2 linked regions of the Caenorhabditis elegans genome follow. The protein of the gene in region 1 purifies or fractionates together with the protein of each later gene. This does not show direct contact. Each region holds a gene or a part of one and is shown in the gene's direction. Other genes may lie near its edges.

The links.
Region 2: the proteins of C49F8.15 (region 1) and pals-15 fractionate together in Caenorhabditis elegans (co-fractionation; one large-scale study listed by BioGRID). This does not show direct contact.

The regions. Positions count from the first base shown.
Region 1 is NC_003284.9:13,360,507-13,364,702, reverse strand, and holds C49F8.15 (uncharacterized protein), read left to right. Parts: upstream 1-2,116; 5' UTR 2,117-2,205; coding exon 2,206-2,280; intron 2,281-2,323; coding exon 2,324-2,431; intron 2,432-2,828; coding exon 2,829-3,017; intron 3,018-3,169; coding exon 3,170-3,391; 3' UTR 3,392-3,502; downstream 3,503-4,196. Other genes in the region: C49F8.1 (Miff domain-containing protein), read left to right, coding at 518-601, 918-963.
Region 2 is NC_003279.8:13,141,386-13,145,337, forward strand, and holds pals-15 (DUF4200 domain-containing protein), read left to right. Parts: upstream 1-1,809; 5' UTR 1,810-1,815; coding exon 1,816-1,884; intron 1,885-1,996; coding exon 1,997-2,188; intron 2,189-2,316; coding exon 2,317-2,673; intron 2,674-2,756; coding exon 2,757-3,203; 3' UTR 3,204-3,238; downstream 3,239-3,952. Other genes in the region: pals-14 (Protein containing ALS2cr12 (ALS2CR12) signature), read left to right, coding at 1-16, 165-404.

The DNA.
Region 1 (4,196 bases):
TGTAAATTCTGTAAATTAAGCGTTTTATGTATGTAATAGTTTTTCTATGAAAACCAGTGGCACCGCTCACTTTGCATTCATTTTGAAAATAATTTGTATGTATACTTCTGAAAAATCATGTTTAAAAAAATCAAAGTTCATATTTCTAAAAATTGCATTTTTCAAAACACATTAAAAACGTATCCATTAAATAAAAATATCAACTTTTAAGGAGCGCGCGTGGCAAGACCATTTTGTAGAAATGTGATCTTGTTGAAATTACTAAAAAAACAAAATAGAACACACATGGCATGACTCCGTTTCGAAAAAAAATTGTACTCAAACGCAGGGTTAAAGGATTTTAATCATCGATTGTCCCCATTCTATAACTTATTTAAACACTCTATTTCGAATATCAACCTCAAAAATCAAACCCAACACCTGTATAAACAATCGCACTTCTTGACAAGCTTAGTATTCTGAAATCATGTTCCAAAAACCTCAGATTATGCGCATATACGTAGTATTCAAGTTTCAGGCTCTCCACACAATTGGCGACGCCAACAATGAAAAAACGGGACCAAAATCAAAATACACACAGAGATGACGAGAAGAAAGAAAAGTGGGGTTTTTTAAATTGTTTAATTCAAGTTCAATAAGGGTCAGACTTGAAAAATATGTTGATATATTTTTTGTCCCTTCAAAAAAACTGTGATTTGTGAAGCTTTTCGAAACAAAAGCTTTGTGAAAATTTCCCACACTTTTTTCTCAATTTTCTTCGCGTTTTGGTGATGATTTTGGTTCAAAAGATTTTGAAACAAAAAGTATGCCTTTTGTATTTTTCCAGTAAACAAGTTTTTTATTTTTATTTTTAAGTAGCCCCGTAGAATTTTTTCAACTTTTCTATCATTAATCAATAAAGAAATCATAAATTTCAGTAATGCTACCGAGGCAGGAGAACCATCTGCCAAAAAAAGATGTTAGTTATCTGAATCTTCTCCAATATGCACAAACGTCCAACTTCCAAAGTTCTCAGCTAAATAAACTGCATTTTCATATTTCACCTTTGACTTTATAGCTCCGTTTTTTTTTCAATTCCCACACCTCCTGGTAGTATTTTCAAAATCTGGTAGATTTTCTGGTTCAGATGCTTTTGTCCTTCATTTCCAAAGATATTAGTTAGATGCTCTTTAACAATGTTTTAAAAACTGTAAATGTTACTACATCACTTCACGAGTTCTACATACTTTTCCTGTTCCCGATTTCTCAAAGAATTGTTTTTCTCATCGACATATTAATGCGAATACCGGTCTAATTATATTTGGTAGATTTTTCGTTGTCCCAGTACATTGTTTCTCACGTCGTGTCAAAAAAAAAATGAACAGTTTTTTTTAAATTGTAGTTGACAATTTCAAAACAAAATTTGCAGATTATGTACAATGTATTTTACCTGCTTTGGTTTTGACAAATGTTATACACTTCTGGTGAATTTACAATTTGAAACGCAGTAGAATAATACAGCAAATTAACATTGGAAGAGTATGCTCATTGAAAATATTTAAACATATCTCTTTTAAATTGTCGACAACAACATCTTGAAAATATGAATTTCAATGCATATTTAGTGCAATCCATTTTCAGTTTTCTATTTTATTTCTCAAAAATTCATTTTTTCTAGTTGCTTTGCTTACTGAATTTTTGCTATTAAATCTGTCCCGCATAAAAAATCGCAAGAATGTTCGAGATTTGCTAAATATCAAAAAACCAAATAATCAAGTGAAACAATGACCATTGTAATTGAAATTTTGCGGACTGATTGAGAATGACGTTTATCAAACTCATTGTTTGCAACATAAGACTACATTCACCAGGTGGAATATGAAAGGAACAGACCCTGAACTTTTTGCTCAATTGCCACAAACCACTGTTTCCTACCGGCAGACGAAGGGGACAGACTCAAACAAAATCCGTCTTGTTCTGTTTTCTGTTAAGCGACTTAAGACAGGTAAGCGCCTCTGACCACTTGCTCCCGAACAACAATCAACAAATGCGGTTGTTTGTCTTAACAGGAAGTTTGCCAGTATTCAGGCGCGAATATAAAAGGTTGGCAACCGCCTGGCAAGATCAGAGCACTTTTCACAACGAACAACAAAGTCGACTTCTAGCTACGCAGAAGTAACGATATCCAGCAAATATTAATTTTTTTCTGGCTGTAAAATTGCACCAATGTTAAAGTTCGCAGTTTTAGCAGTTTCATACCTGGCTTTTGTTGCGGCCTTCCCAACAAGTAATCAACAACAGGTATGAATATCAGTTTTCTATTTTCAGTTTTTATGATTTGCAGTACACTCAAACCGCCCAGCAATATCCTGCTCAGCAGGAGATCAAGCCATCACAGACGGTTCCTCAATTATCGGCTCACCACGGATATGTATACGGACCTCAACAAGCCGTGAGTGCCAAGAAAAATTACTGTACATTCAAATTGTAAAAAATTATACTTAATACGTAGTGCCTAATTTTTGTGCATTCGAGAAGAGTTAATTAAGATATAGCCTATTCTTAAATAGTTGGTTTAGTTTATTTTTATTTTACTTTTTAATTCGCATATATTTTTATTAACAAACACAAAAATAATAAGATAGTTCTTGCTAGAGGCATGTACACATTCAGCACTCACAATTAGTATAGTTTAGCATTGTTTGTGAACCGGTGCAGAGTGTGATCCTACGGAAGTATTTGAATTCTCAAATTCTTGCTTCATTTTTGACTGAGAACTATTCGAGATGAAAATAAGTTGTTGAGAATAGAAGAATGTTAAATTAAAATTAAAAAATTAAACGTTTCAGATGCCCCAACTTTCACAATATCCTTCTCCATCAACAGCTGCACCTGCTCCAGTTCCGGAGCAACCAACCCTCAATAATTTGCCATTAGAAGTAAAACAAAGTGCACAGACCCTCTTTAACGATCCTGACTTTCAAATGCTGGCCAGAAGCCTTCAGTCTGGAACTGGAAGCAGTGGATACAGTAATCCGGTTAGTTGCTTTAAAAATTAATTTAATAAAAAAAATCTACCCTGAAAAATCTACTTAAGTAATAGCTTCAGAGTGTCAAAAACGTTCGAATATTACCCTGACAATCTTTAATCGTAGAATGAACAATTAAATTATTTTCAAACTGATTTCAGCTATCCGCCCGCGACATTCCTCCGTGCTCTTCCGACGGCCGCTCTGTGACCATCGATCATCTCAGAATCTCTCCAGAATCACTTGTCCAAATTGCTCGTCTTGCTCAAGCGTTCGGAACGAACCCAGATTGGAAAAAGTTGCGTTTGGCTGACATGAAATCTGCATTGGGGACGCCAATGCATTCCACCCATCAGTATGCTGCACGATCTATTGGTCTCTAAATTGAAAAAGTAACATTATTTTATTTATGTATATATTCAACAATTTAAGTTATCTAACTTATTTCATTTTCATGTGTTTCTACTTTTCAAGGTATAAATACATATATCCTTATTTGCTTTTTCTGGAGAAACAAAACCATTACCAGTTTCCATTAGCTTAATAATTTACTAAATTAACTTTCAATTAAATGAGTTAGGATATACTGGTCGTCTTTGTTTTAGGAGAATACTTTAAACATACAATTCCAAAAAACTAGTGGTTTATATCTAAACATGAACCCGTAGCCCATTGAGTGAAGATTACAAAAAATTGAGAAAAATGTTCCCTTTTCTTTGAAAATACCTAGTGAAATGCATTCCTAAATTCAAACCTTAAATCACAAATCATCGTAATATTTCCGCTCTCTAGAGTGCACAATGTGATTGATAAAATATGGTCACACCAAAAATGTGCAGTGTTTGCTGATAAACCATGCTGGAACAAGTAGACTATGCGACTTCGTAATCGTCATAACGGTTGATGTCTAGCATAGTTTACCGGGTGAAAGTACATTAAATGAGAAGGAAAAATGTCATAGGTTTGGCTGGGCAAAGGGCGAACCTTGATATTGTGTTCGTGTTCGTTTTGTATGATTGGAGTAAGCATGCAATGTAAAAAATTAAATAACATTCTTTATATAATTGGAACTCTTTTGTTATAGTGGTCGATATCTAAAATGTAGTATTACGAATTTGTTTCCCAATTTGTTTCCCAACTTTATCTAACTGGCATGGTTTGTGAAAAACTTGGAAAGACTTAATTCAA
Region 2 (3,952 bases), on another chromosome or scaffold:
GGTTGACGGCTGTTTGGTGAGTTTCTGACGCATTGAGGCATCAATCAAGCTTGAGCGCGGCCTAAACAAAATCTCACCTGGCCCAAGCTCATACATTGCCGCTTTCTAATCCAAATGCGTAACCATTGGACAAATTAACGATATTTTAAATGTTTCCAATTTAGGAAATGGCAAATAAAATGAAACGATGCATGGAGTCGAGCGACATCCGTTTAGTGTGTTCAACGTTGCCACGTCTTGCAGCAAAACAGGATCACGGCCGTATCAGTGGAATTTTGGAAAAGATCGATAATTTGACTCGTGATATGGTTGCTATCCGTGAAGAAACTGAGAGTAATTCAATTAAATGGAGAAGAATTAGTACTTCGTCTGCGAGTGCTTCGACAAATGCGATTGGGAACTAATTGAACATTAATAATTGTCTTGGTAACTATGTACTTGCTCAGCTGGTTTCTAGTTGAAAGTAAACTTCGACTCTTCCTTTTCTTGGAATATAAAATACTCAGTTTTGTATTGACTTGTTATTGAGTTCGAAAAGTCGATCCGATTGTTTTTTTAATCTATTACTGTCACAAAATCATTTCTGCAATACTCTACAATATCGATAATCCGCGAACTTTCCACCGTGGAAATCAACATTGTCCAATGACTATCTGATATAAATCCAATTGACATACGTGAAACAAAAGTAACCGTACACACCGAGCGTGCCGAGACCCGCCAAACAAAAATTCAAAAATTTATTGAAACGATATTTAGTGTGAAGTCATATATTTATTTTCAAGTTTTGAAAATCTACTAATTTTGCATAAAAATTGTCTATTCCATTTTGTCTCTAAATGTGCTCGGAAATTCACTTTTTCTGCTTGAACTTGGCGGTCATATGTAGAAGTTTTTGGAATGTCGTTTTCAAATTCTGGAAGAACACATAATTTGCAACAAAATGGCTACAGGGATTTTTGAAAAAGTTAGTTTGAAGCCAGACATTAATTTTCAAAGTTTGGAAAATTAATGTAGGGCTGAAAAAATATGAGGCCAAACAAAGAACTTGGGCTTACTTTTTTGAACAACTAATTCTAATTTAGAAGACATTTCAAATAACCATACACAAAAATAGTGACAGATGAGCACTTTAAACTAGAAAAATTCGCTCTCCGACCAGAAAAATCATATTTAAAGTACAATTTTTCGTCCCATTTTCTCTACTAACAGAAATTAATTATTGCTTCGGATTTTTTTTTTCAGAGATAATTTGCAAACTCCTGATTTGAAAGCTAAAAAAGCAATTGCATGAATTCTGAAATAGAGTGAATTGATGATAACAGTTGTTTATATCAAAAGTTACACTTACAATTAGGAAGAGCACATAAATTTTATCATACATTGTAAACACAATAAGCAATAAATGGGTTATAATATACGGAACTATGGTTTAAACACACTATAAGGAATAAAAATGAATTTTCATCACTTAAACGTCTTACTTCTCATGTATATGCATGGTTTCTTATCGATCGATATTTCATTTCATTGCTTATTTTCTACACATCCTTAATTTTATTACAATAACTTTTGGTTTTAGTCAGGTTTTTTACTCATTGAAAGTATCCTATTAAATATTTTAATATAATCCCTCTGTAAGGAATTTTTCAATACCGCACTGGAAAACAGTTATTTGTAAATCAACAAATATAAAACACGATCAACGAAAAATTCATTTATACCAATAAGAACTTCAACACCTTTGATATGCAACATTTATAATAAATACCTCAGGTTGCACTAATATGTCCTTTTCCAGATTGTTATAGAAGAATGGGTTTTTACGAGGATTTCTTCGCCAACACTTATCCACTAAAAGATTACAGATTCACTAAAAATATGGTATGGAATTTCCTTTTTCTTCTAAGCCAAAAAATACAGAAAACTCGTTTCAATGAATTGAAAAAATGATAATTGCTATTGACGACAACCGTGTAAAGTCAAAATTCTATAGGAACACCAACGACGGAGCCCACAAGAAACTGAAAAATATTACGAAGAACAAAAGAAAATTTTGAGAAATGTTCAGCACAAGAAGCTATTGGAGAAACAAGAAGCGAACAGCAGCGCATTAAGATATGCACTTCAAAGGTTCAGCCTAGAGAAGGAACATCTTGAGAACTCCATTAAAAAATCAAAAAATATGGTTAGTTATAGTTAAAATGTCATTTTGAGGGTTTTTGCCTCGAATTTATCGTTTTCAAACGTTCGAAACTTAGATTCCAAGTTGAATTTCCAACCCTTACTCCAACGATTAAGATAAATAATTTTCAGAGAAATCAATCCGAGGAGGCATACCTATCCGAACTTAAACGCCAGGGATTGGAAAAACACGCCGCAAATGTAAAACACCAAGAAACAATGTTAAGAATGAGTTGCTCAACCGAACTGGATAATCGAAGACTGCAGCTGGAACATCAAGCTGAACGTGACAGGATCAATTTGGAATCTGAAATGAAGAAAGGGAAGTTAGCGGAGGCTAAGAGAAACGATAAACTTGAAAAACACTTTAATGATGTCGTTCAAAACGCGAAGAGAGCGGGCTCATCGTTATTAACTGCAGTGGTGTGTTTAATTGAATTGGTGCAAAATAAAGCTGGAGAAGATTCGAAAACCATTGCAAATCGTCAGGTAATATTTTTGGAGTTTTTGGAATTTTTTGAAATTTTTTGGAATTTAATGATCATTAAAAATTCAGAAGTACCAAATTTCAGATTGCATTGAGTGGTGTGAAGAATGAATTTTATAAATTGGCGGAAGCATCTGAAGACATTTCAAAACTCCAGGGGATTAACTGCATAGAAGACAAAATCAACAAAAACGTTGCAGTAGAGATTTTCAGTGAAATAGCCGATGCTCGAAATTGCATGAACACATTTGTGGACTCCTTTGAAAATGAAAAAATATCGTTTAAAACTTTGCAAGTCTTCAGGAGAAGAATAGAGGTTTTAATAGCACTTCTAGACTTTCTGGTGGAAATTGAACGGAAAAATCATGCTGCTAACGTGATCAATGACAGCGAGCACTTCGCGTTTAATAACATAAGAAGGAGAGTGCCAGTGTGGAAACTTCTATCAATAGACATGTTCCTCTACATTTTGTTAATTTTTTCCACTTTTCATTTCTATCGATATGTTTTTCTCAAGGCTAATATTTTGTAGCATCCCATTATAGCATCGAATGAGCACCAATAAATCTTGGTTTGATTTAGCATGTTTGGAAATAGATAAAGTATAGTCATTATAATGAAATTATTTTTTGTAATTGATATGTAAAAAGCTATGTATATGCAAAACATGCATATGCCATGTGTGGAAAATTATTGCTATAAGTTATTTGATCGCGTGCCATTTCAGAGTCTGATAAGAAAAAGAATGACGAAAGCAAAAGGAACTGATAACAATTGCCCATTATTTATTTACATTTTCTGAAATTTAATAATTTTTTAAAACCCTTGGCAGACGCTTAATTTTTACAGGTAATAATGCTAGAAGAATTCAAGCAGGTATTCAACCAGTATTTGGAAAATTTCAAAAAGACGGTGAGCTTGAGTGTATGTTTCTGTCTAATTTTCAATATTGTAGGAAAACAGGCCACATTCACACGAAGAAAAGGGAATGATGCAAATAGAAAAATCAAATTACAAAGACATTATCATAAAACTTTTCGAATCACGCACGGAACGATGGATGAAAAATCGGATAAATGAGTTGTGTGACAAGAAAATTTCAATAAACCGTGAATTAATCAATAAGAAAAACGAATTGCGCACAGCTGAAGAACGACTTGAAAAGGCTCTTTGTGAAATGGTTAGACTTTTTTTGCCCACTATAAAAAAGAGCAAAACTTTCTTGAGCTCTAAAACTAAAAATTCATAATCTGATTTCTGATTTGATGTTAAAAACTGACC